Neodiprion lecontei: one gene and its partners. The main gene of each other region encodes a partner of the protein of the gene in region 2 in a complex. Links are inferred from orthologs where the notes say so. Each region holds a gene or a part of one and is shown on either strand. Other genes may lie near its edges. The genes, in order: RNA-binding protein spenito, zinc finger CCCH domain-containing protein 13 and N6-adenosine-methyltransferase non-catalytic subunit.

The links.
Region 1: zinc finger CCCH domain-containing protein 13 (region 2) and RNA-binding protein spenito share a complex: the UniProt entries of both Drosophila melanogaster proteins name them as parts of the WMM complex. The link is inferred for Neodiprion lecontei from reciprocal best matches to the Drosophila melanogaster genes Flacc and nito.
Region 3: zinc finger CCCH domain-containing protein 13 (region 2) and N6-adenosine-methyltransferase non-catalytic subunit share a complex: the UniProt entries of both Drosophila melanogaster proteins name them as parts of the WMM complex. The link is inferred for Neodiprion lecontei from reciprocal best matches to the Drosophila melanogaster genes Flacc and Mettl14.

What each region holds. Positions count from the first base shown.
Region 1 is NC_060260.1:35,832,289-35,843,279, forward strand, and holds RNA-binding protein spenito, read left to right. Parts: upstream 1-4,085; 5' UTR 4,086-4,461; coding exon 4,462-4,586; intron 4,587-5,114; coding exon 5,115-7,302; 3' UTR 7,303-8,943; downstream 8,944-10,991. Other genes in the region: tubulin beta chain, read right to left, coding at 734-896, 978-1,291, 1,415-1,587, 1,713-1,930, 2,032-2,150, 2,224-2,532, 2,756-2,812. UniProt on the Drosophila melanogaster protein: RNA-binding protein that acts as an associated component of the WMM complex, a complex that mediates N6-methyladenosine (m6A) methylation of mRNAs. M6a modification plays a role in the efficiency of mRNA splicing and is required for sex determination.
Region 2 is NC_060261.1:34,040,567-34,052,202, reverse strand, and holds zinc finger CCCH domain-containing protein 13, read right to left. Parts: upstream 8,736-11,636; 5' UTR 8,369-8,735; coding exon 8,184-8,368; intron 7,967-8,183; coding exon 7,891-7,966; intron 7,678-7,890; coding exon 7,274-7,677; intron 7,207-7,273; coding exon 5,506-7,206; intron 5,165-5,505; coding exon 4,841-5,164; intron 4,759-4,840; coding exon 3,974-4,758; intron 3,898-3,973; coding exon 3,783-3,897; intron 3,587-3,782; coding exon 3,487-3,586; 3' UTR 3,131-3,486; coding exon of another isoform or gene 3,014-3,130; 3' UTR 2,947-3,013; coding exon of another isoform or gene 2,855-2,946; 3' UTR 2,769-2,854; coding exon of another isoform or gene 2,673-2,768; 3' UTR 2,641-2,672; downstream 1-2,640. Other genes in the region: protein eyes shut, read right to left, coding at 218-225; SET domain-containing protein SmydA-8-like, read left to right, coding at 1,218-1,694, 1,780-2,145, 2,225-2,359, 2,424-2,610, 2,673-2,768, 2,855-2,946, 3,014-3,130; protein Mo25, read left to right, coding at 9,956-10,057, 10,131-10,298, 10,389-10,507, 10,599-10,767, 11,251-11,415, 11,486-11,590. UniProt on the Drosophila melanogaster protein: Associated component of the WMM complex, a complex that mediates N6-methyladenosine (m6A) methylation of mRNAs, a modification that plays a role in the efficiency of mRNA splicing and is required for sex determination.
Region 3 is NC_060260.1:28,912,114-28,920,693, forward strand, and holds N6-adenosine-methyltransferase non-catalytic subunit, read right to left. Parts: upstream 4,992-8,580; 5' UTR 4,852-4,991; coding exon 4,795-4,851; intron 4,687-4,794; coding exon 4,510-4,686; intron 4,282-4,509; coding exon 3,964-4,281; intron 3,884-3,963; coding exon 3,501-3,883; intron 3,399-3,500; coding exon 3,161-3,398; 3' UTR 2,937-3,160; downstream 1-2,936. Other genes in the region: protein bicaudal C, read left to right, coding at 5,394-5,438. UniProt on the Drosophila melanogaster protein: Non-catalytic component of the WMM complex, a complex that mediates N6-methyladenosine (m6A) methylation of mRNAs, a modification that plays a role in the efficiency of mRNA splicing and is required for sex determination.

The DNA of each region.
Region 1 (10,991 bases), on a different chromosome or scaffold from region 2:
CGTGGCAAGCATATTTCTATTTTTGTCAATTTACAAAGACTTGGTGCATTCAGCATTAAAATTAAATTCTGATATGTGAGAAACAATGATAGAGTTTATGTTTACCTGTAACGTAGCAGCTTCCATAACACTTTCGTTTCCGAACAATCACTTGTGCCGAAGGAAATCGTGGTGATCATTGATACACTTATTGATTGATTATTGGGAAAACGCTACAAAAGTTAATATAAACCATGATGTATATACACGTGTCACATTTATTCGTAGCATCGTGAATTATACACTCACATTTCATTTCATCACACTAAAACCTAACATACTGATTTTGCGAGAAACAATTGACAAATCATTGTTTCTTTTAACATTTTGTAAGTATGTGTAATGCAAGTGCAGTACTAATCTCTGAGAAACACTTTCAGAATCAGCTCACACGCGAGCTTTCAATCTGAAATCGATATGGGAATTTAGAAATTGAGAGGAGATGAGAGCAAAAATGGTTAATCGTCTCTTGGTGAACCAAAAATAGGAGCTTTTGACGTTTTATTGTTAAACAATCGACACTTTTTCATGCAACAGAGAAATCGTATTCAAAATATGAACAATACGAGTACGACTACAATACATCACCATCAGTGGCATATACAGGTATGTGTTTATATTTGCACCGCAAAATAAAGACAATAAGTAATCAAAATTTAACAAAAATTACATATCAATTTCACGCAGGATGAAACTAGTCTTCATTGAATTCTACATCCCCTTCAACCTCTTCGTCGTCCACGAACGCTGACTCGTCTGCAGAGACTTCTTGGTACTGCTGATACTCCGAAACCATGTCATTCATATTTGATTCTGCTTCTGTAAACTCCATCTCGTCCATACCTTCTCCGGTGTACCTGGAATGATGAAAATCAGTCGTATAAAATCATTGCTGGGACGATGCAGGCATGCGGTTGCTACGTGCGCTATAAACTCACCAATGTAAAAACGCTTTTCGTCGGAACATGGAAGTGAACTGTTCAGATATGCGTTTGAAGAGTTCCTGAATCGCAGTGGTGTTCCCGAGAAAAGTACCCGACATCTTCATGCCACAAGGCGGTATGTCGCAGACGGCTGTTTTTATATTATTCGGAATCCAATCGACGAAATACGAGCTGTTCTTATTCTGTATATTTGTCATTTGTTGATCGACTTCCTTCATCGACATTCTTCCACGGAAGATAGCCGCCACTGTAAGATATCTACCGTGGCGAGGATCGCAAGCTGCCATCATGTTCTTCGCGTCGAACATCTTTCATGTGATCGTAAAATGTATCGAAGGTTGAGTATAGTAAAATTGTAAACATTTATAGCTGGCTGCATCCTTGATTAGCATTGTATGATTTGCCTATGATTCAAATGGAGATCTCCTCACCTGCTGCGTTAACTCAGGCACGGAGAGAGCTTGGTATTGTTGACTGTTTCGCGCAACCAACGGAGCAAATCCTGGAACGAAGAAGTGCAGCCTGGGAAACGGTACCATGTTAACAGCCAGCTTTCGAAGATCAGCATTCAACTGTCCCGGAAATCTCAGACTGGTGGTAATTCCTACAAACATGTGCAAATCTTTGTATTGTACATATCGAACGATGGTTCTAAAGACACAGTGAACCCCATTATTCGTCAATGCTGTAATTATTGTACCCTCAGCTGCCACAATATATCTTACGCACCAGACATCGTTAGGGACACAAGGTGGTTCAGGTCACAGTAGGTGGGCGACGGTAATTTCAGCGTCCTGAAGCAAATATCGTACAGTGCTTCGTTATCAATGCAGAATGTTTCATCCGTATTTTCAACGAGCTGGTGAACGGATAAAGTGGCATTGTATGGCTCGACTACGGTGTCCGACACTTTTGGACTTGGTACTACGCTGAAGGACGTCATGATCCTGTTGAACAAAGTGCCGTAAAATTGTGTCTAAAAATATCAATGTCCGCAGCGGTATATTTGACGAGAAAATTCGATCATTTTTAGATACGTATAACATACCTGTCGGGAAAGTCTTCGCGGACCTTCGACATTATGAGGGTCCCCATTCCGGACCCGGTTCCTCCCCCCAAGGAATGACACAGTTGAAAGCCTTGAAGGCTGTCGCATCCTTCAGCTTCCTGCATATCAAGGTAATTTTCTGTATTACGATCATCACCCGCTGGACTATTGTTCGGACAATAATTTTCCTACCTTTCTTAGGACGTCTAGAACCGAGTCAACCAGCTCCGCCCCTTCTGTGTAGTGACCCTTAGCCCAGTTGTTACCGGCACCACTTTGCCCGAAGACAAAGTTGTCTGGCCGAAAAATTTTACCAAATTCACCCGACCGCACTGAGTCCATGGTTCCAGGTTCCAGGTCGACTTGAATCGACCTGGGAACATATGTGCTTTTTGCAGCTTCGTTGTAGTACACACTAATCCTATCCAATTGATCTCTCGCGTTACCAACATACTTTCCTGTCTGATCTATTCCGTGCTCGTTCGAAATCATGTGCCAAAACTACACAAAGTTTGGAAAAAAGTAAAAATAATGTATATGCTGCATATATCTCAAAAGTCTCATCACCTTTTTTTGGAATCTTACCGAGGTGCGAATCTTATATGTAACGCGTATCAGCCATTTTGTCCTACGAAATTTGATCTGAGACTAAATTTTTCGCACGATCCTTATATAATTCATCTTATCAAAATAGTAAAAAACCCTTAGAATTAGAGAGACTTACTCGTGCACCGATTTGATTGCCACACTGGCCCACCTGGACGTGAACAATTTCTCTCATCTTGATTCAATTTGGCGATGATACTTCGAATGACTTTCGTTATCAACTGATGCCAGACTGAATTGAAACCGTCACGAAAGTTGATTTTTTGCCACTGCAAGACGCCTGCTGTCATTATTGGTCACTTACCTCTCGTATACCTAATACAGGGCCGTCTAATAATTATTTCGATCAACGTGAATAGGGTTCCTCATAATTGTTACGTGACTCAAATTTTCAATCAATTGCTCAATGTTGTACATCGCATTGCTTTAAATTTTTAGGCTTGAATCAAAAGAATTTGTCTATCCGATAATTCTTTGTTCATCGGGAAGAACGGGACAAAATACCCAGAGCCTAGAAACGTATAATAGGCCGTCCCTGTAGCGTCGATTATATCTGCTCGAAAGGTCATCGTTATTGAAACCAATCAAAACATTGGGCAGTGAGCAGAATTGGGTAATACCATAATACACCTATAGGTATGTAGATACACAAAACTATGAACGCTACCACTGTAATATCAGATATAAAAGGTCTTGTTACCGAGTAGTTGGTGTTATTTCTCTAGGGCCATGAATTTTCAAATAATTCTGTATTCGTACAGATCTGAATGTTCGATTCAAACTTCAGGCACCTATGAGATGTGTGGATAATTTTTTCTTTTTTTTTTCTTTTGGTTTGAACGAGTTACATAGTCACACGTTATACGATCGGCGATTCAAAAAGCCTCCCAAAAATAGGGGCATTTCTTGCGAGTATGAGGATACGGTAAAGTATCATTTGTCCCTCGGTTCAGAAAAATTCGTGCGAACCCCAAACTGGGCAATTGTTCAGTTATTTCTAAATGACATTTTTTTGCAGGTGCTGTAATAATTCTGAAGTAAGTAAGCACATTGGGCTCATCTTCATCCAAGTAATGATTCTTCATTTATTTTCAACTGAAGCAGTACCGTAGTCTTATTTTTGAAAATGCGTGGTAGCGCCGAAAACGCCTGGGTACTTCTGTAGGCTGCAACCAGTCTAACAGGTATTTACCAAGGATTCATTTAATGTTAGTCAATGCTAATTGTAATTCTACCTTACCGACATCTTAACAATTCCGTAGAAGATCGTTCATCCGCAGACTTAGATTTTCAAATGGTATCATGGTGATAAAATTACCCATTACCAAAAACATTTTAGATCATAAACTTTTAGAATTCATAAAATGGTATCGAATTGTTACCGATGCAGTACAACTATACTCCTTAGTAATCTTACGCCAGCAAGGCCAGTAACCAGTAAGGCGTCGGCCGACGAACGGCTACGCGTTGACAAGTAGATCAGAATTATTAGCGATATTTACAAAGATTGTTAAAGCAACAAAGAGCGGGAAATAAAATTTCAAGTTTTAAAATAGTCATGAAAAAATAATTAAGCGTTAACGTGTCACGCTTATATCTAAAAACATAGCGTAAACAAACGGAAGCGGCAAGTAGCGGTGCTCCAAACTAGCCGACATTCATTGTGCCGTCGCTAAAGGGGGGAGAGGAAGACGCGACAAGGCACGGTCAGGAGACGAATGATCACCGCCATTTTGCTGTGCGTCTGTTGAGTGGAGTGCGTTTAGTTGACGCGGATAATTTTATTAATTATTTGTCAGTTATTTACGGTTTTCTGCAGCGTTGATGATTGGGATTCCGCGCGACGACCGCCACAAAATAACGGTTAAAATCCGAAATAATATGAAACGGAGCTCGAGTCGGGACACTCCACCGCCCCGTGTCAAGCGATCCAGATCCTCCATGGGAAGGTATGCCAAATGCTGTTCCACCTCAGGGTATCATAAATTCCAAACTCTTTTTACACTCTTCGTCAGTTGCTACGTTTTACTGAATTTCAATTCGGTCCGACGACCCTAGTTTACTTCTTACGCACGACGAAGTCGCTGGTTTGCCTGTTTTTAAATTCTTAGTATCGAGCTTCTACCCAATATGATTCGCAACTATCCCTGGAATCAACACTTCTGTTCATTGCTCTGAAATCCTTACCAACATTTTATTGCCCTAATCTCACGGTAATGTGGCATAAATCCGGTATTTACTGCTTGTTGACCACAGTATTTATGGTCAATATAACCTCCACTTGCGGTCTGCTGATGTGAAGCATCGGTTTTTTTTTCTTAGACGAGTAAGAGTATAATCTCATGCGCTGTTTTCAACCTCGTATGAATTCCCGATATGTGATTAGTTTCGTAATTTTTTGATAATTAAAATATTCTCGTTCTTTCTAAACTATTTTTCTTTACTTGTTTGACAAGAAATGTTGCCCATTTTTTCAGATACGATGATTCGAGCGATGAGAGGATTACACCGGAACGAATCAGACGGCGCTCTAGAGGGGCTCGGAGTCCGAGTCCTCCCAGAGCATCCTCTCATGCCAGATACGTTGAGTCCAGTTCTCACAGGGACGAGTATATGCGAGCACCCAGAGAGATACCGCCTGAGCGTCCGTACAGCTACAAGGTCCTCTGCGTGAGTTCGATACATCCAAAAGCAAGCGACGAAGTAATAAAAGATACCCTTTACCGGGAGTATAAGAAATTTGGTGACTTTTCCATACGAATCTCTCATGAATTGGACGAGCGAGTTGCTTATGTTTGCTTCAGAAGTTCCGAGGATGCGAGAGACGCGAAACATGCAAAACCAAGAATTATTTTATACGACAAGCTTGCCTTGGTTGAACCTGTTTATGAAAGACCCGAATCTTACCGACGACCCAGATCCATCACTCCCCCAGATTACGAACGTTACTATGCCAGGTCACCTGGGCCCACAGAGAGGCACAGACCGATTGAACGATACGAACGAGTTTACGGACCACCAGTTGGAGTTCCACCTCACAGGGAGCTCAGAAGAGAAACAATTCCACCTCCTCATCACGAATTTGTTCGTCCACCACTACACCATGGACCACCACATGTTCACCCTGGTCCTCCGCATCATTATGGACCACCCAGACACATGATGATTCGTCATCCTGTTCACGGTTTTGAGAGAATTGAAAATAAGAAAGACAAGTTTCCAAACTATTTGCATCATGTTTCACCTGAGGATGATCCACTGGCGACTCGAACCTTGTTTGCCGGTAATTTGGAGATAAATATTACCGAGGAAGAGCTGAGAAGAATCTTTAGCAAGTATGGAATCGTCGATGACATCGATATCAAGAGACCCCCACCGGGTACTGGAAATGCTTATGCCTTTGTCAGGTTCCAGACTTTGGATATGGCACATAGATGCAAAGTTGAATTATCTGGCCAGTACATTGGTAAATTTCAGTGTAAAATTGGGTATGGTAAAGCTACCCCAACGACTCGTATCTGGGTTGGCGGTTTGGGGCCATGGACATCCGTGCCTCAGCTGGAGAGAGAGTTTGATCGTTTTGGGGCAATTAAAAAGATTGATTACATCAAGGGAGATAGCAATGCATACATTTTATATGATTCCATCGACGCAGCCCAAGCTGCTGTGAAAGAAATGAGAGGATTTCCGCTTGGGGGACCAGATAGGAGACTGAGGGTTGATTTTGCTGATGTTACTCCCGGGTTTGGGTTCAAACCTAGACCGTACCCAGAAGACGCAGCTGAGTTTCGACCAAGACCAGTGGAATATGAATCTCCGTACGATCCTTATGCTCCTGAAGGTGAATTTGCTTATGCTCCAAGGGGATTCAGGGGTCGTGGAAGTGCCCCATGGCACGATAGACGAGGAGGAGGCAGAGGGGGATACCGTGGAACTGCTTATCCTGAGGGATATGTGAGAGAAGAATCTGATTGGCCAAGCCGCCGGCCACCACCTGAGCTCGAATATGAATCACCAAGGGGCTTGAGGCGCTCATTGTCTCGGGAACCAGGTGTAGATCGATCCAGATCACGTTCTCCGCGGAGAAGACCTGTGGATTCAGATTCCGATTCTGAAACAGCTAGAACAGGGATGCTGTCTACGTCACGAACTCTTCCTGAAGTTGCACGAAAGTCTATAGCGGTTTGGCAAGGCGCTTTGATATTAAAAAATTCTTTATTTCCAGCTAAATTTCACCTTACAGATGGAGATACAGAGATAATTGATGCGCTGATGAAGGATGAAGATGGGAAACATATGCTGAGAATAACGCAGCGTCTTCGTTTAGACCAACCAAAATTAGATGACGTTTCTAAACGCATACAAACATCCAGTTCACATGCTATATTTTTAGGTCTTGCCGGATCTAGCGCTACCATCACGAACGATGACGCAAACGTGCAAACTCGACCTCTAAGAAACTTAGTGTCATATCTCAAGCAGAAAGAAGCTGCGGGAGTAATATCTCTGTTGAATAAAGACACAGAAGGAACCGGAGTCTTGTATGCCTTCCCGCCGTGCGCCTTTTCGACCGAACTTTTGAAAAGAACTTGTCCCAGCCTTAGCGAGGAGGGTTTGAAAGAGGATCACTTAGTTATCGTTGTGGTGAAAGGCGGCAGTGCCTAAGTTACGCTTACTCATAAGGTTTATTAAAGGTAAACGTGCTGAATACTACAATACTATTACATTACTCGGTCAAAAATTTGGCTGATTTCCTCAATTTCTGGTTGAATTTTAAGGAAAGTAACTAATTACGATTAACGTACAGATGGTCTATACACAGAGTATTTAGCAGATCAGTGTTTCTAGATTGTCTCAAATTAATCACACTATATTACATCTGATTGTGCACATCTTTTTTTTTTTCCCCGAAACAAAGCTCTTGCAGAATTATTTGATTTTAATTATTCAACTAATGAGTAACAAAATCTGGAACTTGTATAGCTTCATTTTTCAGAAGCCCAAAATTTATCGGTTCATTTTTAGAATCAGCCAAATTGTAAAAATTGACGAAACCACGTCCAAGGGGGTATGCAATAGCCAAATACCAGGACATAATAATATGTTGATATCAAGTGACTGCTGTGGTCAGAAGAATTGAAAGTTCTGACAAGGCTGTTAGAAGAAGTACATGTATTAAGCATGGAAATAATAACTTATGGTTACGAAATGTTAGATATAGCTTCACGAGGTAAGCGCTCTGATAACAAAACAGTACATTGAAAAGTTGCAAAGTTCTTCCGAAGATTGATTTAAAAATGGAATACTTATTTTTATGAAGATGAAACATTATTTTAGTAATGTTCTGCATAACTTTTTTTTTCTCTTAATCCGAGTCATAAACGTTGGACCGTTATGGCATATGATATAATGGTGAATCATAATCTATTACATAACTTAATTGTAGTGAACCTATTCTAATTAGTATACATACTCAGTTAATTATCATGTACACAGTTCTTTCACATTTGTGATTGTACGAATTTTGCTGCAGTGCATAAACGTCTTAGGATTTATATATACACGCGTATATATAAATATAAATATATACATATACTTATGAAGGGATGCAAATTACATTAATTGATGAAAATTTTTTAAAGTAAGGTGTCTGCAAACTGAGAAATAATGGCAAAAGTATTTCTTACCTCACGCATTAATATACTTTTTTCTTTATCGCGATTTCTGTAAATAATGATCATTGTTATTCTTATACAAAATGCGAAAGGACTGGTCAACAACTAACTACTAGTTTATTGTTAAATTTACAGAATATCAAACGGTCACATCGTATAATGAAAATATTAAATTCAGTTAATTTACTTTTATATGATTTAGATTTTAGATGCATAAGATTTAAGTGTTTGTGCTATAAATTATCTGTGAAAATGATATTGAATTTCGTTAACATGGACAGTGATTGAGTGGCCGTGGGGAAAAATGAACAGCAAAATCTCTTCTAAAACCCTAAAAAAAAACTTCGTCTAATGCCGCGAGAATCATTGGCAACATGTTAAGAAATCTGTGAACTTTACCATAAAGGACTGTGTTTGGTGGTATTAAAAAAAGAAACTACAGAAATCTCCAATTGTGTACAGTGATGTAAAACAGTGCTTGTGTTCTCGCCTCCGAGGGTGTTATCATGAAGGTATGAAAATAACATCGATCTTGAAATCGAACCCTCAGAACATCTGAGATATGAGAAAGTCCAAATCGCACTCGGAGGCGAACTAAGGTGCGGTGGTAAAGTGTATCTGGTGTTGAAAAGAAAAGAAATGAAATGAAAAAATAGAGCCGATTGCAGACAAAACTATTGATTGTGTTTAATTTCTTAGATATGTCAAAAAAAAATATGCCCACCCATCAAGTTCAAGTTGAAATGAGTTTAGTTCAATTAGTGGTTGAAAATTATCAATAGCTGAGTTACGTCTGTGATTGTTTGTTCATAAACAAAAAATCAAGTTTGCGAAAGAAAGAAAGAAGGAAATGGAAGTTTCGAGTTATGCTAGGATATTCAAAGTTTTAAAACAGAGTTCGCCAAAATTAACAAACTATTCGGTTGATAAAACAATGCATGCTTGTGCTTAGAGAAGAACATAGTTGTTCTTTGGTCGTTTTTTTATCTCCATTTTTTTCTGTCGGCTTTTCTTTGATTTTAGTTCAGTGGTCGTGAAGTTGGTGTTGTGGTTTGTTATTCGACAATGTTTTAATACGCTGATCGATCTCAATCTCATGACAGATGGAAAAAGAAAATACGAGTTTTGTCAAAAACAAAAAGAAACTAATGATCTCAGTGTAACCAGTGGCTTGTGCCAGTTTATTTCTTGTTCTAAACAAAGTAGTTGCGAAATATTGGTTCTGAGTCATCATATTGCAAATCCAGAGAGATAATTGTGCTTTAGTGATCATGTGGCTTGTGATTAATTTGTCTAAGTTTTTGTTTATTTTTTTTTTTCCATCATTTACATTAAAATAAAAAAGTTTCTATTGGTAAAGAAGAAAATATTATAAACTGGCTTTTCGAAGATCGTTGCTAATTTCATAGTTTTGGAACTCTGGGTGCTAAGTTCTCCAAGTAAAAAGTTTTCGACACTGCTCTCCAAGTACCCAAGTTATCAATATAGTGAAAGAAATCATATTGTTTAAAATTTACGCTTTCTTCCTTACTCATCTTTGAGGAAAATGAAACTGTAAAAAGGAAAGACTAAAGGAGAGAGAAAAAGATTGACTATTGTTAGTTCGTCGTATTGACACGATTGTTGTTAAGGCTGGAAGTTCAGTGCACAACTTCCTCAAAATAAAACGAAAGTCCAGAAAATTTGCATGTTGCACTAGTGAAGTGAGTTTAGTGGTTCTCTAGTTCAATAGCAAGTTGGTGAGGTGTTCTCTTTTTCAGATTTTTGACCGCTTTCCAGGTATTCTGGCCTTAATATCTTTCAGAGGCAGAAATCATCGCATGATTTTCAATTCCACATAAAAATAAAAAAAAATAAGATTGAAGTGAGACCAGAAATTTTAATAGTGCTGGATCGTAGAAGTATTATGGTTTTTGCCTCTCAGAGATACTTAAGGATCTTGTTCCTCAACCACATACTGATCGTAGCTTAATAATGGTTCAGCCAGATTTTTTGGATTGTACGGTAAGTTGGGTCGCCGGGAGATATTTTTTTATGTTCCAGATTTCTAAACAATGCTGCCAAATCCAGCGGACTTAGATGTCATCAGAAGCTTTTAATGAATGCTCGAACTACAAATGAAGATTGATGTTGTATGATCTACAATCTTTGCATAAATAAAGCATTTTTTGATGTACATAAACAAAAATACCCACTAATCCTGTTATCGTTATTCAGAAAAAGCTAACATAAAAGGACGCACCTACAAGTTTAACATGTTTACACTATCAGCTATACTATGATTGTAAACATTTCTTATAATAGTTCAGCGATTTTTTACACTCATGACGCAAACCCATTTCTCGAGTTTCTGTTTTTAATTCTGTACAAAGATCTGAAATAGAAACGTGATTTTTTATATACAAACATAAAAGTGTGAAAGAACGTGTTCAATTGTTCAATTTTCGGTAACTAATGTTCTGTGCTGTCATAGAATATGCCATCAAATCGGTTGTAAAAATCGACGGTACCGAACGTTCTATTTGGCTCGTAGAAAAAAAAATGAATACGTTCACATCTAACGGAAATTGACAATTTGAACAATCGTTCGATGTGTCGAATTTCGCTGATAGTTTTTTTTGCTTGAAAATCCTGCGTCATGATTAAATAAATGTGATTGCGCGATTATTTACAATGACT
Region 2 (11,636 bases):
AAATTCCCTTTAAAAAATAACATCTTTACACCACTACAATACTGTATACACAATGAAAAGAAATACAAGCAATTCACATTATGATAATGATTTGATAATAATTTCATTACTACAGACAAAATCTATTCAGCTAGATGAAGTACAATCGATAAAATTAATAATAATACAAAAGTAATTAGATGAGCGCTAATTAGAAAAAAATAATTAATCATGTTACCTGTTCATAATTTATCTTTAGAGAATCACAAGGTGTTGGAACACGTATTATTTGTACATTAGTTGGTAGCCTAAATTTTGTACAGTCCTTCGAATGCAAGTTGCTATAGCAACGTGTAAACAACACATTGCACGTCCGCGAGAGATCTAAGACGCGTGCGTAAAATGCGACTCAATGGTCTATACTCATACCAGCATAATTAATAAATGATCGTTCGATAAATTGGGTTTGCATCGAACACTAGACAAATAATGAATGACTATTTTCTTAAGTAATTATCCCATACGGGCTGTATTTGCAGGATCGCACATTTTTTCGCTTGCAGTAATGATGTAAATAATGGTACGTATGTACGGAAATTCTATTTATTTTTCGTAGCCTAAGCAGCAGACTTCAATAAAGGAACTTTGTATGATGAAAGTGTATTGATTAAACAAGAGGTATATAATGTGACACGATATTTCTCTTTGTTAACGAGTTTCTAATCCATTATGTTGAACATATATGTAATACATATATAAACATAACAATAATAGTATGTATATTAAATAGTTACTTCACTAATAATTGAATATTTAATATGAATTCCAGTAAAAAGAAATAATCTACAAACATCAGAATTCTGTAAGATGGTCGCGATAATTTTTAATTATTACTCCACGATCATTCAGGCCAATTTATTTTGGAATCGAATGTCCTATTTTTAAACATACTACAGGAGGCATTGGTGCAGTGCAATTTATACTCCCTTCAATGTGAACAGTACACTAGCTGAACGAAATTTCTAACTGATGACTAGCCACAAATGTAAGTAATATGTTACCAAAGTAAAAGTGAACAAGTGTTTAGATTTTACTAGCTAACGTAATTAGGTAATATGGTACATGTTGATACTCTTCACTAGACTCATAATAAATATGTAAATTATCTCGTATTACTGAGAGTTTACATTTTAATGCAGAAATAATATACTAAATTAGAAATTAATTTGCACCAGACCATGGAACAACAAGTGATCACAGATATGTTGAACCTTCATTTGGAAAGAAATAATCTTTCAAAGGATGGCTCAAGGAGTTGGTTTGTTGGGGGGTCTCTGTTAGGAGGACGAGGACTTTTTGCCACAACAGATATTGCAGTTGGAGAGCTTGTCTTTGTGGACGCCCCACTGGTAGTTGGGCCTAGAACACGAGATAAGCATTTGCCGCTCTGCATCGTGTGCTATAAGACCGGTTGTCCTCTGTTTCCTTGTGACAAGGGATGCAGCCTTCCAATTTGCTCCTCTGCCTGTGAACTCTCAGTTGAACACGATGCTGAATGCTCTCTCCTTCAAGCATGGAAACCCACTTGCGGTTCTTCTTGGTCTATTAACTTACTTAGAGCACTAGTTCCAATCAGAGCACTTCTATTAGACGAGCAACAGCGAGATCTACTTTACACTCTGCAGTGGCACTCCGGGCCTCAGCATGGTTCAGAGGTCAGGTCACCACTTGAGTGAAAAAAAGACACTGTATGTCAAATTAAAAATATGAAAGTCATTGTATGAATTTATATTTTCACAGATAGATCTTTTAAAGAGCAGTATAAAAATTCAAATGAATCAAATAGAGGAACAGTTCATGAGACGAGTGTGTGCAGTAATGGATACTAATTCGTTTGAAACAGCTGCAATAGTTGGGGAGTCTGTCACAAGCTTGCGAGGCTTATACCCAATGGGTGCTTTGCAGAATCATTGTTGTACACCCAATACTCGTCATTATTACGATTCTCAACAGAGATTATATGTAACAGCTGCTATTCCCATTAAGAAAAACGAGGAGATAACTATGACTTACACAGATTTGTTTTGGGATACAACGTTAAGAAGACGACATTTAGCTGCCACTAAACATTTCTTCTGCACATGCAGTAGATGCACTGATCCGCTAGTACTTAAATTTTGACTATGTGCCTCTAAATAATTTTAAATACTTATATAAAATTACAATATCTTCTATAACTTCTTAGGAAAATGGATCTTTGCTTGGAGCATTGCGTTGTGCTCGTAAGGAGTGTTCAGGAATTTTAGTCGCTGTTGAACCTTTAGATACTTCAACAGTGTGGGAGTGCAGAGAATGCGGATTACGCCTGAAAAACAGACAAGTATGTTACATACGTAAAACAGACAAGTATGTACTTATAAACTTCGTTTGATTTTTTCTTTTAGATTATTTCAATTCGATCAGCTTTGGGAAGTATAGTTGAAGAGATGATATACAAAAGTCCTAAGCAGATGTTGCGATTCATGAAAAGTGAACTGTCGGTCTTGGTACCTGCAACAAATTACGTTGCAGTTGATATGAAACTCAGAATAATATCTTGTCTTGGAAGAACCGAGAAGTTTTTGTGGGAAGGTAAATACAATTACTGTGCAAACTTGAAGGTTGTTGTGTATCTCTGTCGAATTGATTTACAGATTTGACAAAGGATGAGCTCAGCATCAAGGAAAAATACTGCAGGGATTTATTACGCTTGATTGAGACTTTAAAATGTGGCGAATGTAAGATGAAAGGTAGTTTAAGAAACATATATTTGCAATGTCGTCTCTCCATATCTTTTTTTGTGGCCACATTAATATTCAATAACTGCTCATTTTAGGCTTGATCTCTTATGAGTTGTATAGTACATTGATGGAGCTGAACAAACGCCAATTTAATGAAGAAACTAATATTGAGAAGTCTGAGTCACAGGTACAAAATTCTTAGACTTCTGTGAACAAATAATTATCATGAATATTGACTCTTTTACGTGACGTAGTTTCAGGTGAATGAAGAAAGTAAGAACCTGCTTGAGACTGCGATATTGATATTACAAAATGACTTAACTGCTCCCAAAGATTTGTTGTCTCTTGTTTCTGGTATGACAAAAAAATAAATATAAATTAATTATGAAGTTGTGAATATTAAATTCACATTCACATGCTTCGCCCGCATTTAAATTTAATGACCTATTCTAGAACCGAAGCTAATCTGACCCGCGGTTGAAAAAAATCAATCTTTGCATAGCTATGAACCATCGTCTCGACAATACAAATGTCTTGTGTGAATATGATCTCAATCGGTCGAGTCGTTCATAAGTTACACGATACAAAAAGGCGCACAAAAGAATTATATATATTAAGACCACGAATACGTACAATTTTCCCTAATATATTCTAAGTACTAAGTAACTATGCTTAGCAATGATACAAAGATAAAAATATTAACAATTGCAATGCATATGAGAAATGTCTATGTAACTTTTTGTAATAATATCTTTGCTTCTTCACATAAGCTCGTGCAAGGTTGCAGAGTTTCTTCATCATCGTCCTCATTTGCCTCAGCATAATTTCTGTAATTTGAAATAACCAAAATTAATTTTCATTACAATTGCGTGGCAAATATCAATTAATGACACATCATATTATTTCATCTTAATTATGGACAAGTCTATTATGTAAATGTAATCGAAAATTTCACCAATCTGGGTAATCTTTTCCAACGGTTCTCTAAATATGCATCTTTATTTTCTTTTGTACTCAATTTACCTGCATAGTAAATTTTCGCTGATTAATGAAGTTCTTGATGTCCGAGTCATAAATTGCTGCCTCATGATTGCAGTGTGTAGAAGGGCGACGTCATTCAGAAGAAATTTATCAGCATCTGAAAGTAGCGTGGAATTAAGAAGTAATTGAAGCTATTATAGTAAACACTAGTAATATGTAAAATATAGATTTACCATCTATGCAGTACTTCTTTGTTATGGATTCTACCATTTCCGCCCCTGCATATTTCATAGAGATACCAATGCGCTGGAATATAGCTTTACATTGCCAGCGACTTTGAGCAGTATTTTGATTCATGGTAAGAACTCGACGAGGCTGAGATTCTTTGACTAAACTTTCCCAATCTACACCCAAAGCATCTCCCAAGCCCTTGCCGCTTGTCTTAATATCCTCCTCAAGTTCTCCATCGGATATTTCTTCAAAGTCCATATTCTCAATATTTTCTTCTTCGATATTTCGGAATTCCATTTGTTCGTTTGTATCTTTTTCCTTGGTAAATATAGTCTCTTCTACAATTTCTTTTGGTGATAACTGTGAGGCTTCTGGAGTTTGTACAAGTACGTCTCGTTCATTAATCTCTGTACCTTTTTTAGGTAAGGGCAATTTTGGTGTCTCACTTTCTTCTTCTTCCATATTCAAAATATCATCAGGATCATCGCTGATATCACTCAAATCACTCTCCGTATGCAAAGTTTGGAGAGATTCATCCAAGCATGGACGTTTAGGTTCTGCAGCCAAAGGGGATTCTTTAACTTCCGATTTTTCGCGTTGTGGAATTCTTTTCTGAAAATTTTCAACAGATTTCTCTCTGCTCCTCCTGACCCTACCCTCCGCTAATTCCATCAATTTTTTATTTATCGGTTCTTCCTTCATGCTGCCATGTAAAGATCCTTGTTTTGACCCATGAGCAGAGCATTCATCTCTCAATTCCGGAGTGCTATAGGGTGGACGTCGTTTGCTTGAAACACAAACTTTTGATATAAAATATGGTACTATTATGCTTCTAAATTTTTCGAAATATTAATTATTATTATCAATACCTATGTAGTTCTCCTAAGTCTATTTCTTTGATTCTGTCATTTCTGTAGTGTCCTCGGTTGTGAGGTGGATTGTGGGGTGGATTGTGGGGCAAACTTTCCCATTTTCGGCCTTCATTCAACTTCCAATCAGGCATAGGGCTGTCATAGCGTGGAGCCCATTCTTCTTCATGAACCTCTGAATGTGGAGGACTTTCTCTATCCCACATCGGAGGTCGAGCCGCTCTCCATTCACGTTCCTCCCAGTCAGAAGTTTGGTAATTCCGGTCTCGACTACCATGCTCCATCTCATGATGGACATCCCAATTGTCATTACTACTTTCGTCTCTGTTATAAAAAAAAAAAAATGACGATTAAAAAAATTATTGGAAGATTTGTAAAGTTCAAATGAAGTTCTGTACACTACCAGACAGTTCTGATACAATCAATTTTTATGTAAACTAATATCAGTCTACACCATTAAAATGTAGAATGGACTGCGCACTTTCTATCCAAGCAATAGAAGTAATGTGTCTGCTACTGTATGAGAAAGATAAAATGTGATTATGACTATCCAGAGGTGTGGTTAACTAAGCACATTTTTATATAAAGACTGCTGCTTTTTGATATTTGCTGCACAGGCTTCAGGTTTGCATGCACAGTTCATCTTATATGTATATGGTCTATACCTGTTTACACTAGACCTCATTTTTTCACCCGAAAATATGGGCAGATGTGGATCCTCAAAAGGCCTTTCACTCTGCATAGCATAGCGTGATGGACGTTCATCTCTACCTCGTCTTTCTTCGAAAGGGCTGTTGTACCTTCTTGGTTCCATTGGTTTACGTCTTTCATCTTCATGAGGGTGGTGATCTCGATAATCAACTCTTGGAGGTTCCTCAGGCTCTTCCCAATGCTCAGGTGGCAATCGAGCATAGCCCCTATCGTAGTTTCTCTCTATTTCTAGGCTGCGTCTGGACCCATCTCTTCGTTCCGGTAGTCTGTCTATTTTTGATGGAATATGAGGTGGCTCCTTGCGCTCATGATCGGCTGGATGCCCTCTGTCAAACCTAGGATTGAATCTTCTATGCCTGTCCCGATCATAAAGATTTTCTCGTTCCATAACATGGTCACGAGCTCCTGTAGCTATGTTTTTGTCAACTACTCGATCAAGAGATCTTTCTCTTGGAAAACGCTCTTGTCTATCTCTCTCCACACCTTTGTGAGGCAGCATTTCTTTATCCAATGATCTGTCATAGCGAGCATCAAATCGTTGTAAAGCTCTGTCTCGATCTAAGGGTTTTTCTGACCTTTCTCGGTCTCTCTCACTCCGTCTATCCCTCTGTCCACTTTTGTCAAGCCCTCCATCTTTGAATCTATCCTTATCTCGACCATACCGACCATTCTTATCCATAGGATTAATAGCAGTTGTTGCCATGAGTGGTGGTATATCTCTTTCTCGAACTTTAACTGCATCTTTTTCACGATCTCGTTCTCTTTGTCTATCTCGACACCTTTCCTGTACTTCTTCTCGTTCTTTTTCTCGCTGAGAATCACGCTGATCTCTGCCTAATCTTGAATGACTTCTATCATCCCTTAAGTTGTGCTCCTTATCTCTACGTTCCTTGCTACGCTGCCGATTGCGTTCACTGACATAATTTTTCTCCTCGATGTCTCGAACCGCATTCTTACGATGGGAGTCTTCTTGGCTAGACGAAGGCTTTGATTTGGATGGATCATTTTTACGAATATCGTCTTTGTCTTTATTTCGATCTCCTTTGTATGAGTCACGTTCTTTTTTATCTATCTCTCTGGATCTTCCAGAAGATGTTTTACTCTCTTGGTGACGAAGTGGAGTTACCTCTCGTTTAGACCTCAATGGTTTCTCTGGAGTTCGACTGCGCCTCGATTTAGTATTAGAAAAATCTTTAGGATACTGGTATTTAGATTTCTCAATAGGTGGGGTTCTAGAACGTCTTTCTTTATCTTTTACTCTCTGTTTTGATTTCTCATCAGTTTTTACACGATCTTCCACAATGCGACTTTTATTTTTATCAGACTCTTTTGATTTATCAGTAGCCTTATTCTTCACTATATCTTTCAATGAAGGCTCATCTTCTCTAATTTTTTTATGATGCTTATCTTTTTCCACTTCCCTACTCCTTGGTTTTGGGGATTCACTCCGGTTTCGCTCCTTTACTTTACTGGAGGAAGCATGTGCTGACATGGTTGGTGATTTAACCTTGGTAGAAGAATGCTTTCTGGATGAAGAAATAGCAACTTTCTTAGCTGCTTTTACAACTGGTTCTTTTTTGCTCAACACTTCAATCTTGCGTTTCTTTTTTACGATAAGTTTTTCATTCTTCGTTCCCAGTCTTTTAAGCTTAAGCCTGTTGAAAAAATTAAAAATAACAAACATTATATAGCTCAAGTTAAAATGCCAGATGTTGTACTTACTTCTTTTTTCGTTCCTTATCTTCATCATAATCTGAAGATGCACTGTGATGTCGTTTAGACTTGACCTTCTTGACTTTCTTGCGAGAATCCGAAGTGGAGCTAGATGAGGAATCATCACTACTAGAGCTACTGCTGCTGCTGGATGTGCTAGAGCTGTGTGAACTAGATGATGAACTCATAGCTTTTTTTTTGTGTTTTGTTGTCTTTTCCTTGCCATGAATTTCCTTGTCTTTCTTCATTTGTAATTCTAATTCTCTTTGTAAGAGCTGAAGTCTTCTTTCTAAAGCTTTTTCGTCTTCGTATTCCAGATCTGTCTGGTTCCACTCTTCCAAATTAAGATCAGGACTATGAGACGTCTTTTTTACAATTTTTGATGTGACTCGCTTGAATGGATCTTCGCTAGGCTATTGTAAAAGTCAACGGTAGGTAATTCGTCATAACGCAATTTATTAATTATATTTAAAAATACTTGGGATTAATTCCAAAACCACTTGAAGGATAGAAAAAAAACTTGTTAGTATAATCATCGAAACTGATGGAGGAATTTCAATTTGATAAATCTCTCAATTAGAAATACTTGCAAATATAGAAGACAACTTTGAATCAAAGGCACTTACCACAGTTGCACTAGTAAGAGCATTATCTTTCTTCACACGTTTTGATGGGCTGATCAGTGTGTGCGTGATTGCGTACCTAGTACAAATAAATGTTAATGTGCCAATTGTTTCATAGAAGACTTTGAAATTGATTTTTAACTGGAAGATCATGAATAAGTTTCATGACATTTGACAAAAATATTGACAATTGTAACGACGTGTTACTGATAAAGAGTGGTAGATCGAATTTCAGGACAATTATTTATGGTGCTGTATATGGTCACTAATTGTCATGTTGCAAATAATCAACATACTTGCAACTTTTGCCGTACGAACAACTGCCATTCAGAGCCCAATTTCTACAGTAATCGGAATTGTTTTGGCCGGTGGAAGTTGCTGGTGGTTTGGTACCCAACCTCTCAAATACGCTAGGTCGTCGAGAGTCTGTGTTACATTTCGAAGGGTCAACTGTTATTTTTCTTATGTTTGGTTTTGACATATTATCACCATAAAACGATTTTAAATTGATACTGGAAGCACATAACTGCGGTATGCAAAATCCCACTTTGCTATCTTCTATCACAAAAACAAACTCAATGGATACCTACGATCCGGTACAATCACCATACAAAATTAGTTAATCTAAAATCGCAGGGTCGAGCCCCATGAAGAGTGTTAAGCTCGTGGATTAATTATTTCATTTATAATGGCAGTGAGGCCATCTCTCGGTAGTTGGAAAAGGTTATGTCTGTGATGTCACATCCCCGAATGCAGAAGTTTCCTCAACGGGAGATTAAGAAAAAACCCGGTAGCCTGGCAAGAAAAGAGACTCCCGAACGCTTAAAGACGATTACCCCTACTGATTAGTGATTAGTGATAACCCCTCGACAAATTCTTGTAACCAACACCGGCGCGTAAATGGGCCTTGGGCCATAAGAAGCCGTGTTCAGGATAGTTATCCGGTAGCTTCTTTATCGGCACTAACCGTTTAACACGCAATCCGATAAGCACATAAGACCACATTAGGGTATACCGTCTTTAACAGTCTTCAGTCAACTTAAGCCAACGCCATGGAGTTTCAAGTGTTTATATCAGTGTGATCGTTACTGTATTAACACGCTCACAGAGAAGCCACGCCAAATTAAAGTTACGTGATCGACCGTCAGACTACAACGTCACACTAGAGTCATCATGAAGTTATAGTATTTCTACCATCTCTACTATTTTCTATTATTCGTGTTTGAAGGAGCGTAAATAACATCTACGAGTTGATTGGACATAGGAGCGGTCAGTAACAAGCAGTAATAAGAAGGATGACCAATAGTGAATCCTAACAGCCCCCAATGTCAGTCGTCAGTGTCGAGCTTGTAATAAATGGCAATCTTGAGTTATGCGATATATTAAAAGATTAAGAAAGATTAATACTTATTAAAAAGACTGTGGAAAGTTGAAAACACATTGAATAATTGATAGAGAACGTCGTTCTACGTCAGGTTTCTTAAACATATAATTTTCGACAGGTTTCGAATAACTTATTTATAACCGCAAAATACGTCAGTATCGTTCTACGTATAAATGAAATGCTAAAAGGGAAATCTGTGCTATAAGTGCTAAGAAACAACTGCGTACATTGATTCAACTACTTATTGAATGGTAAGCTTATTGAATAATTTAAATACAAAGTTACATAACTATATTTCTATGCGATAGGTTATCTTAATGTACAACTCAACACTGTTTAGATTTTTTCCGAATTTTTTTCAACTCTGAAACTTTGAAGCTAGCCCCATGCTTTTCAATCTAAATTTTCCTATTCATTCCTATTTTTATCAAGCTCTAACATTATATGAATCGATTCATTACAATCTCTGAATCTATACTGAAAAATTATGGAGTCTAGGGATACTTAGTCACAATTAGTTTAAGCAAATCAATGTTTCATTAAATCACAGGCTTGCTTTTTTGGTTCTTGAATTAATATTTTTTACTCATCTTCAAACTCCAACTTATACCTTGCTCACCAGTGCAATGAATTAAATGTATGAAATTTGAATTTTTCCACAAGGTTTTCATCTTCTAAGAAATCATGCCTCTGTTCGGAAAATCTCAAAAGAGTCCGGCGGAGGTTGTAAAGGCTCTAAAAGAGGCCGTTAATGCCCTGGAACGTGGTGATAAGAAAGTAGAGAAGGTATGCAGCATGTAGCCAGTTTCCTGCCAAAAAGAATTCCTATTATGTATTTAAACATGAATCATCTTTCCAGGCTCAAGAGGATGTCAGCAAAAATTTAGTGCATATTAAAAACATGCTTTATGGGACCGCCGAAGCAGAGCCTCAAGCTGATATTGTCGTAGCTCAGCTAGCTCAGGAGTTGTACAACAGCAATCTGCTATTGCTCTTGGTCCAGAATCTTAGTCGGATTGATTTTGAGGTGACTTCATCAACCTCTGCTTTCACAACGAGATAAAGTACAAAATAGTGCATATGAAAAGGTTGTTATAATTTTGTATGATTCCTTCAGGGGAAGAAAGATGTGGCTCAGGTATTCAACAATATCTTACGGAGGCAAATTGGCACACGATCGCCAACAGTTGAATATATTTGTACGAAGCCAGAAATATTATTCACTCTTATGTCTGGGTAAGTTGTGAGATATAAATCATACTCAGTTTTGTTTTTTAATTTCAAACAAAATTCAATCAACTTAACCAGAGAATTCCTATACTTTCAGCTACGAGCATCAAGATATTGCATTAAATTGTGGAACGATGCTGAGGGAATGCGCTCGATATGAGGCATTGGCCAAAATAATGATTTATTCTGATGATTTTTATAATTTCTTTCGATATGTCGAAGTTTCGACATTCGATATTGCATCAGATGCCTTTTCTACATTTAAGGTAGTTGTCGTTACACATATATATGTAATTTTTTAAACTAATGTGTTGGTACAGTATCTTGGCAACACATCGGAAAAACCATCAATAGTCAGAGAATTTTGTCACTCTGGGAAACTTTGAAAATTATGTTCATAAATTCTTTGTGAAATACCCAATCATTCACTGTCAATTGCTACAGAGTTTTGGTATGTAATAACTTTTCATGTACGTAAAAAACATGCCATATGGTACGCTAGAAAAAAGTATAGATTGCCATTAAGAATGATAACAGAAACCCCAGTGACATGATTATTTCATTTTTTTACTATAAACTACTGTATTTTTCAAACTTCATCACCAAGGGTTAGAAAAAGCTAAATTTTGTGCTGGTTTTTTTTCAACTTGAGAAAGTTGGAGCATTTAATTTAAATCAATATGTTTCTACTATGTACATCTTATTATTGTTAAAGAAAAAAAGTTTTCTGAGGAGTTTCATTGTTTCAGGAATTGTTAACAAGACATAAAATACTTAGCGCTGAATTTTTAGAAGTGAATTATGACAAAGTCTTCTCACATTATCAAAGGTTATTAAATTCTGAGAACTACGTAACACGTCGACAGAGTTTAAAATTACTGGGAGAACTCCTTCTGGATAGACATAATTTCACGGCAAGTTGTTTTGATTAAGCAATCAAATGGTGAAATAACATCTGTTGCTACATAATTTTATATGTTACAGGTCATGACTCGGTACATTTCAAATCCTGATAATTTAAAGCTGATGATGAATATGCTTAAGGAAAAGTCACGTAACATTCAATTTGAGGCTTTTCATGTTTTTAAGGTAGAAAAATCACCTGAGTGTGATTTTATTTTCAATGAAACAAGAG
Region 3 (8,580 bases), on a different chromosome or scaffold from region 2:
TTGGAATTGAGATATAAAGTTTTTTACGTTAGAGTTCTTCAGCAAAAGATTGACTGTCAAGTCACTAGGCATCAATACATGATCTTTTGGTTTCTGGATACTAAATGAGGAAAGTGTATCTCTTTATGTCTTGTGGCACATTATTGACAGCAAACTAGGGATATCGCTTTCCGAGTTATAAACAACTAGTGGCTCCTAAGAGCGATATTATTTATTTATTTATAAAAATAAAGGCACAAATCGTCGAAGTGATCTATAATACTTAGGTTACTGCTTCATAAGTTACATAATGTCGTAATAATATGTAACAGCCTTTAGGAAACTTGTTGCTAGAAGTTCAAAGATCACGTCAAAAATGTTACAAAATTTCACTTCGTGATTAATAGTTTTTCACATTATTAAAAAGTAATAGGTATTGGATTCAAGTTTAAAAAATATTTGAAGCCATATTTGTCACGTTCTCGAATTTAAAATTTACCCATTCTATTCTTATATCCGATTTTGATAGGAATCGTTTATATTCGGTACGGGAACTATTTTCACATAAACAAATGTTGTTCTTCATAGGCTCTTATTAGACTGCTCACAATTACGACGATTTTAATGAATTTTATTGTATCTGATTAGGATAAACATTCATGGCCATGTGATATGTTTCCAGTGGCGCAATGCAAATATGAAATGATCATGCTTTAAAGTGTTATTGTTAACAGTTGATTATCGTCTGTGCAAGGGTGTTATAGTAAAATTAGGTGTTACTTTCTTGCAATATTCAGGCTTGACAGATTTTATTTTTTGCCAAGTCGAGTCATGAACGACGGCTACATAATTACAGCTCCCCCAGTTCAGTCCTTACATGTAATAAACAAGTAGCACAAAATCGTCACGTCGATTAATTACGTGACATCGAGTTATAAATTTCTTTCATTCAAGCTGCAATTGCGCAATTGTGTGTATTTAGAAAAATTCAATTAGCATATACAATTAATTTAAGTTAAAGTAAGCTAAGTTACAATTGTATCTTTTTGAAGACATCTCTTAGAATTCTATTATACACTGTACAGCATAGTTATATAAACTCGTCGTATATTTTTATACCAATCTTGATTTTTGCGCAGGTTTTTCTATGAATCCTTCACGTTTTGTTAGTAGAATGGACCATTTTATAAAATATACCTGCAGTGAAATATGCACAATTGCGCTGCTTTTTCATAATATGATACGTGAAACAGTGTGCTTCGAATTGATATTTGATTACATAATTTTTCATTTTTTTTTAAATAATGACGTCTCTTTTATTGTGTCAACCGATAGATTAATAATTAAATCTAGTATATGTAGTGTTTAATATACTTTTTACTCACTGATGAAGTAAGCCAAAATGTTGCTGAAATTGTTTACGCGAACGAATGCCACTTGGGATAAGTTTTGCCTTACTTCACAACTATGTTACAACAAATTATCGAGGTTTGGTTCGCAGAATTGTTCTGTAATTTTACTGAAACATGAAAACGTTACCTCATCGAATAGAAAATACCTGAACTCAGTTATAACATTAATAATTAATTCGATCTATGATAATAATTTGTTGCACTCGATTTGTTTAAAAAATTGTCTCAATGTAATTTAGCTACGTTAAATACTGATGAATTATGTGTTATTGTGAATTTACTCATTAGTGGAATTTATCAGACGAATTGCAGGAGTTCAGAACTTTGACAGAATCAAGATACATAGTCTCAAAATACCGATCATCTCTATTGCATTGAAAGTAATTCGTGATACATATTGTCAGATTCTTCCCAAAGTACTCGTTTGTAAATCCATATTAATAACAGATGAGAGCTGTGAATCAAGTATTTATACTTATTATGAATTACCTATTTTCATATTACCGTATTGTTCAATTCAACCTATAGAGTACAAACAAGTTGACTTGATCTCACATAGACTAAAAAATAAAAATTTCTTCTTTCCCGAAGGAATACAAATATGTAGTTTGTTTTTCTTAATCTATAAATTATTTCTGTGTAAGCAGAATATTCGAGGCCAATATTGGCTGTATTGCCAACACAGCTACACATAGATAATTCTAGGAAGGTGCAATACCATCCAGACTATCATATGTGTTTAAACGCTGTTAGACACATAATATAATTTTTTTCTGTGTTCAGAAAATAACTTATTCATTTTCCCTTCGTAGATTAACACATTAGTGGTAATGTTCCTGCAATGGTGTAGAGAGCAGTCGATGCACATTTGCAGAACATACTTGAATAACATACAAGTTTAGTGTGAAGGTGCACGATACCGGTGGAAGTATTAGGAAAAGCATATTTATACATATGTTTGCCGGTTATATCTCGTAAACATAACTTGGAGATGAGTTTTTGTTCAGCATCGAGCTATCGGTGGTTTACGTCATTGGAATCTATTTTATTCTTCTGTGTTCATCCTTATGTTTCTATTGGCGTCTTGCATCTCTAGCGTTATATTTATGATCTAACATGAGAGAATTTTATATTTTAATTTTTAACTCCGCATTTAAATAAACGAATTTGATCAATAATTTTCAGACTTATGATTTCAAGAAAATACTTTATTCTTTTTAGTTCGTAATCAATACAGCAATTTTGGAATGGTAAAAGATGTAGGCTTTTAACCATGCATTTTCTCCAGTCATTTTATTAGTATTATGACCAGTCGATGACAATGACAAATTCTTAAGAACATGAAGTAACGACAGTGTTTTGCTGAGTCCAAGCAGACAGAGCAAAGTACAGCTATTGCAACAGCCGGATATTGAATTCACGATGATTAATACCGTTAACTTGATACACATTTTTAGATATTTCAAACCCTGTTAAACAGAATTTGGTTGTGTAATGCAATTATACCTACTTACTAAAGAACAAAAAAAAAACAATTATCCAATATGAGAGGTTCAAATTCACTTTATTGATTCAGAAACGTACAGTATGCATTTGTAAACAACTAACAAGAAAGAATACTATTGAGCAGCATCACTATCAGTTGATGTAGCATGTTGTCATAAATAGGTTAATTGATAAAAAATTGTTCTTTTGTATTCGGCATGAGATATTTTTGTGCGTTCAAGTCGATAATCGTTAAAAACTTGTAATCTATTAGGAATTACAGATTATCTGCCTCTCCCCCGACCTCGATTGAAACCACCCCTCCCTCTGCCAGAGACTTTTCCTTTCGGTGGTGGAGATTTGGGTCTGAGTGCTTCTATTCTTTCGGTACATCCAGTTGTGATCTGGCTAGTTGCAAAATAGCTAGTGTACAGATCAGTGTTAAAATTCGTATTAGTCAATTCTGGTCCCACTGTAAGCCAGCCTGGCCTGATCGTACTGTCACGCCCAAATAAATGCAATCTGTTAAAGAAATAGTAGGGAAGATATAATAATCTCATTTGCTAGCAACAAGAAGTGAGATTTGGGTTTAACGAAGATCTTTGGAAATTGCATGGTACTTACCGTCTTCTGCCTAGGCAGAAATGTTCAATAATGTGGAAAATTTCAACAGGTTTCTCGATAGATCCGTACTCAGGTTCCTCAGATATAATCAGATCAATATCTACGTTTGCATGAATAAAATCACCATCTGTAGATCTTCGTACAGTCCCTTTAATTCCCATTAAGCAATGCTCTTTTGTTCTCTGCAAAACTGCTTTAGTATCTAAATTTTTACTGTGTCCAGGATTATTTATATTCGTACGTATCCAACAAATGTCTTCACATCTTCTGAAGCCCCACTTTCTCAAACAAAATCTACCCATGTCTAATCCATCGCTACTACCACACCAGAGGAATACAAAACTACGACTTGCCGCTACTTCGCCTATGTCGAGCTCCATGATCTGGAAAAAAATTATTATGACTCTTAGTTAAAGGTGCGTTGACCAGGTTTACTAAAAATTCATTACCGACCATGCCTAACCTGATCCCAATTCCAAAGTTGTACATTTGTGGCTCCACATGTCCTTTGATATTCTTCAAGAGGTGGCTCAATGAGAATAACGTCAAATTTACAATTTAGTTCTTTCAGATTGTAAGCAAGGAGATCGGTTTTCAGGTACATGGGGGGAGTTGCAGTGTCTGAAATTAGGTCATCCTTAAGTTTAATAAGCTCTCGCAACTTTGGATATTCTTCAAATCGATCCGCCAATCCTACATCTCGTATAAAATTCTGAGGGCGTTGTCCAGTGTCGATAAAGTGTTGGCAGTAGTCATTGTGGGGATTTGAGGATTGTGTTCCCTGATTGAAGAAAAGGGTATCATTTGGTATGAATGTGAATCCAAGTTACAACTGATTTTACACCTAATACAAAAGTTATGCAAGAGTGGGTGAAATATAGTTTACTACAAATTTCTGAGCGTTTTCCTAAAAGTACACAAAGAGGGTTGCTTTTTTTTTTTTTTTGTTTAAACATTATTCAATTACTAACACTGGAAAAAAAACTGATAGTATTAAGAGGTTGCATACTTTAAGAAACGTAGAAGAATCTTTATAGACTATTTCGTTGGTTGACACTGTGTCATCCTTCTGTTCTCTAAGGTCGTCATCCGACTTGACAGATGACATTTTTTCACGTTTCCTTTGTGCATCATTGATGTCTGTACCCAAAACTTGTCTAAGCTCATCCACGCTCGAAACCCCAAGCTGAAAATAACATAAATATTACAAATTATAACGTGTTTACATCAGACATAACCTCAAAATCAGAAACACGATTTTAGACTGACTGATCAGCGAGAAGTGTGTCCTCACCGTTTGAGCCAATAATTTCTTTCGCTTTTTAGAGCGCTCTCGAAGTGTCTGCAACATTATAAACTCCTTGTTATTTTAAATATTGTCTAAAGTAAAACTGAACAGAGGCACGAAATTGTCGACATGTAGCAGGTGGCCGAAAATACACCCATACGTAAGCTGACAAGCAATCTGTTGTGCTGCCAAGTGGCGGAGCCTACCGGAGAGCGGAACTAGATTAATTTCCAAGAATGCATGACATATATTGGATCTCAGAACTGCATCGGGGGGTTCAGTAAATTCAGTTTCATATATAGTTTGATGCGGGGTGCAGCGATCCGTTGTCCGTAGTTCGCTCCTTCGTCTGCTCTTTACATTCGGAACTGTCGACCTCCGAATGAATTGCGTAATTTATCAAACGCCGCGGTGAATCGTGAGAATGCAATTACTTCCGGTGCAATTCAAACTCGCGAGTGTAATAATAAATAAAGCGCTAGTCGCAAATTCATTATGTGTTTAGGCGAGTAGAGTGAAAAAATAACATCAAGTCTTGTTGTGACGGGCGCTTATTAATTCGTCGGACCTCGACACATGTGATGTAAAATGAATGAATACGTTTTATGGGACGAAATGCTGCGCGGCTATGTCGTACCTCTTCAAAAACGGTAAGCCGCTCTTTTATAATAAGCATGGTTGCAGGAAAAGTAGTTAATTGTAAGTGCATTATAATTGGCGTCCTCTAGTATTTCTTTCAGGGCGGAAGATGACTGTCATAAACAGTAATGTGATGTGCGATATAAGTATGTATGTATGCATTTCAAACTGTTATTTCCATAATTGCGGAAATATCATTTTCGAAGTGGATTTAGTTTATACTGTTCGTCCTTATACTTTGACTGTCTAAATTAGTGGTATAAATGTAATGACTGCGAAGTTTCTTATATATTCCCATAAATTTTAAAATAAATCGCAATTTTTTGATATTTATGTATATAACGTATACTGCTTGTCATCTGAAATTGAATCATTCGATATTTTCTCCTTAAAATTCACCGCTACCGAACGCCCGCACGCTCAAGGTCGTCGCGCCTAGTGCGCTTCCACGTTGTAAAGTGTAGAGCAAAGGGATTTCGCCTCTTAATTAGCTTTATTGCATTCGTCCATTTCATTTCACTTGCGTTTCTTACTTATGAGTCTTATAATCGCATATTCGCGCGCTCGATATGGTGGCATGGAGGTCCCCATGGTTCGATCGGCAGGTTTGGAGAAGGCCGCAGGGGTCTGAAACTGACCGCGACGGGTCTAATAAAGCTTAGTCCTTACATTCCCAGACGGTGTCAATTTGGACAATAAGGACAATTGTAAAATTATTTGAAAGTAACGGAACCCAGACAGAAAGCGTCTGGATTTGGGACCTTCCGGAAAAGGCCTGAGTTGCCTTCCCTTGCACCGGTGTGGAGAAGGGTGGCCTACGGTCAGGACTTGGAAAGCATTCGACTCAGGCCAGACGGTATAAAGATATCGGAGTGGACGGTTCTTGCGAACGGAGAGATATCAAGTCTGGTGATTTCTCAGTGTTGTCATTCTAGTGTTGTGAATTTGCAAATTCTGTTAACTGGTTTCGTGGAGGTCCCGGTTATTCCGACGCGCACCTGCCGCGACTTGTTCCAAGACGTTTACATTCCTCTCCAATTGACGTACATTGCTACGACATCCCGAGGGCTGTCCCATCCTGTAGGTAAGAGAGCTCTCTTAATTGTTTTAGCTAAGCGAATGATCATTCTCATTGTGACATCTTAACATAAGTTGGAAATTAAGCCTCCGGCTTGCAGTGGTTTGTGCGTCATTTCACGTACTTGGATTTTACTTGATTTGTTGAACAAGTTCACTATCTTTCATTGGCTTGCTCGGGCTTTTCCCCTCTACTCCGTGAGGGTTTTTATGCCTCGGCAAGTTGTTGTCCGTTGCTAGTTTGCCAGCGCAACTGCCGTGTTTTTATTTAAAAGACCCGGTTACTCATTCCAACCCGAATTCTTCCTTGTGTAGTATAAGAATAATTCACAAGGTATATGGTAGAAGAGGTAAATACCGACTGGAACACCATCCTGGTACCGAAAGCGTAATTACTCATGAGCATGAAGTTAGTAACGTTACTGCGAAGAAGAAATCTGACGGCTTCGTTCGATTTCATTCCACGATGGCTTATTTTGTGTTGAAATGACCCTTCTCTACAATTCCACGAACGTGCTTGAGACACTTTGACTTGTCATGTTGGTATAGGTCGATATTCAATTTCATAAGATTGCATTGATACTGGTTTTGATGGACAAAAAAAAAAAACAACGAACAACATTGAATTTACTTTTGACAAAACAAGAAGCGTTTCAGTGAATCTGTGAAATGTATAAGTTTTTCTACGAAAATAAGCCCAGACGTGGAGCGAAATCAAACGAAGCTATTAGATGTTTAACTAACCTAATCTGATTTGAAATGAACAATTGATGTCTAACGACAATTTGTTTTTCTTGAATTGCTTAACGAACATCACTATATCCTACAAATATATAGAAATTTGGTGAATTCTCAATGTTTGACTATCTTGTAATCAAGTCAACTATTACAGAGGTATTGAATTTCGCTTCACCGGCAATTTCCTTAAACGGTATAAAGATATTTTTCGTAATTCGTGTACGAAAAATTGAGAAATATTTCCAGGTTCTTTTGTGCCTACGAATATAATTCGGGTGGCCGGCCGGAAACCGGAAACGTAAAAAGTGTTGTTACGCCGCGCGGTAGGTTGTATATCGGTTGATAGATAACGAGTGTATTGAATTGTTAAACGTCGTATCGTTGATCAAAGGTGAGAAATGAATCACCTTGCTTCTCACCGCTGTCACATAACTGAAATATCCTTTCACATAGAGAGGCGTAAAAATTGACTCAAAGTCATTGAACATCATTGCGACTCCTGGTGTGGAATCACATGCGGATAGCGCTGAAGAAACGAAAAGCAAGCGTTGGAAATCATATGGAAATCGATGCAAGTCTTGCGATGAAGGCGAAGCGGTTTCATTTCAATAACATTCTTATACTTGCTGATTTTTATCTCATAAATGTGCTTTCCTTAAGTTTCATTGATTTCCAATGAGCTCCCAACGACTAGGTGATTTTCGGTAATTTCTTGTGATTCCATTTGAACTGATTCAATGCGCAAATCGCTAAAAATCGTCCAGAAAGCTCAGAAATAATTGGAAACGAGGGGTAACATTGGAAATCGATGTATACAGTAAGTCTCGGGGTAGACGTCAAACTGTTTCCATTCATTAAAATTTTACTGATTTCCGTCTTTATGATACTGTACCATCCGTTTATTGTCATGGTTTACCGTTAAGTGATTTCCAATGGTTTCCCAGCGTTATATGTGTAAACATAACGGTAATGACCAGTGATTTGTCGTAGCTCTATTGAAAATTGTCTAGAGCGCTCGTAAGTCATTGAAAATAAAAGGCAAATTAGGTAGAAGCAATAGGAAATAGTCACTACTTGAGATCGTAAACCACTTTACACGAAGCGATTTATAAGAAATCGTTGAAAATTAGCCTTTAGTTTTCAACCAGAAATCGTTTGATATCACCTTAAGTTGTTTAAAATTATACCTGAAATCGGTTGGAATCGCATGAAGTCGAGTGAAATTGTTAGGAATCACGTGAAATCATTGAAACGTATACCAATCGCTAATCGTTACCGGATCTCTAAGCGAAATTGCCCTTAGGGTAAAAGTCGATAGAAATCACTCTCAATCAATGT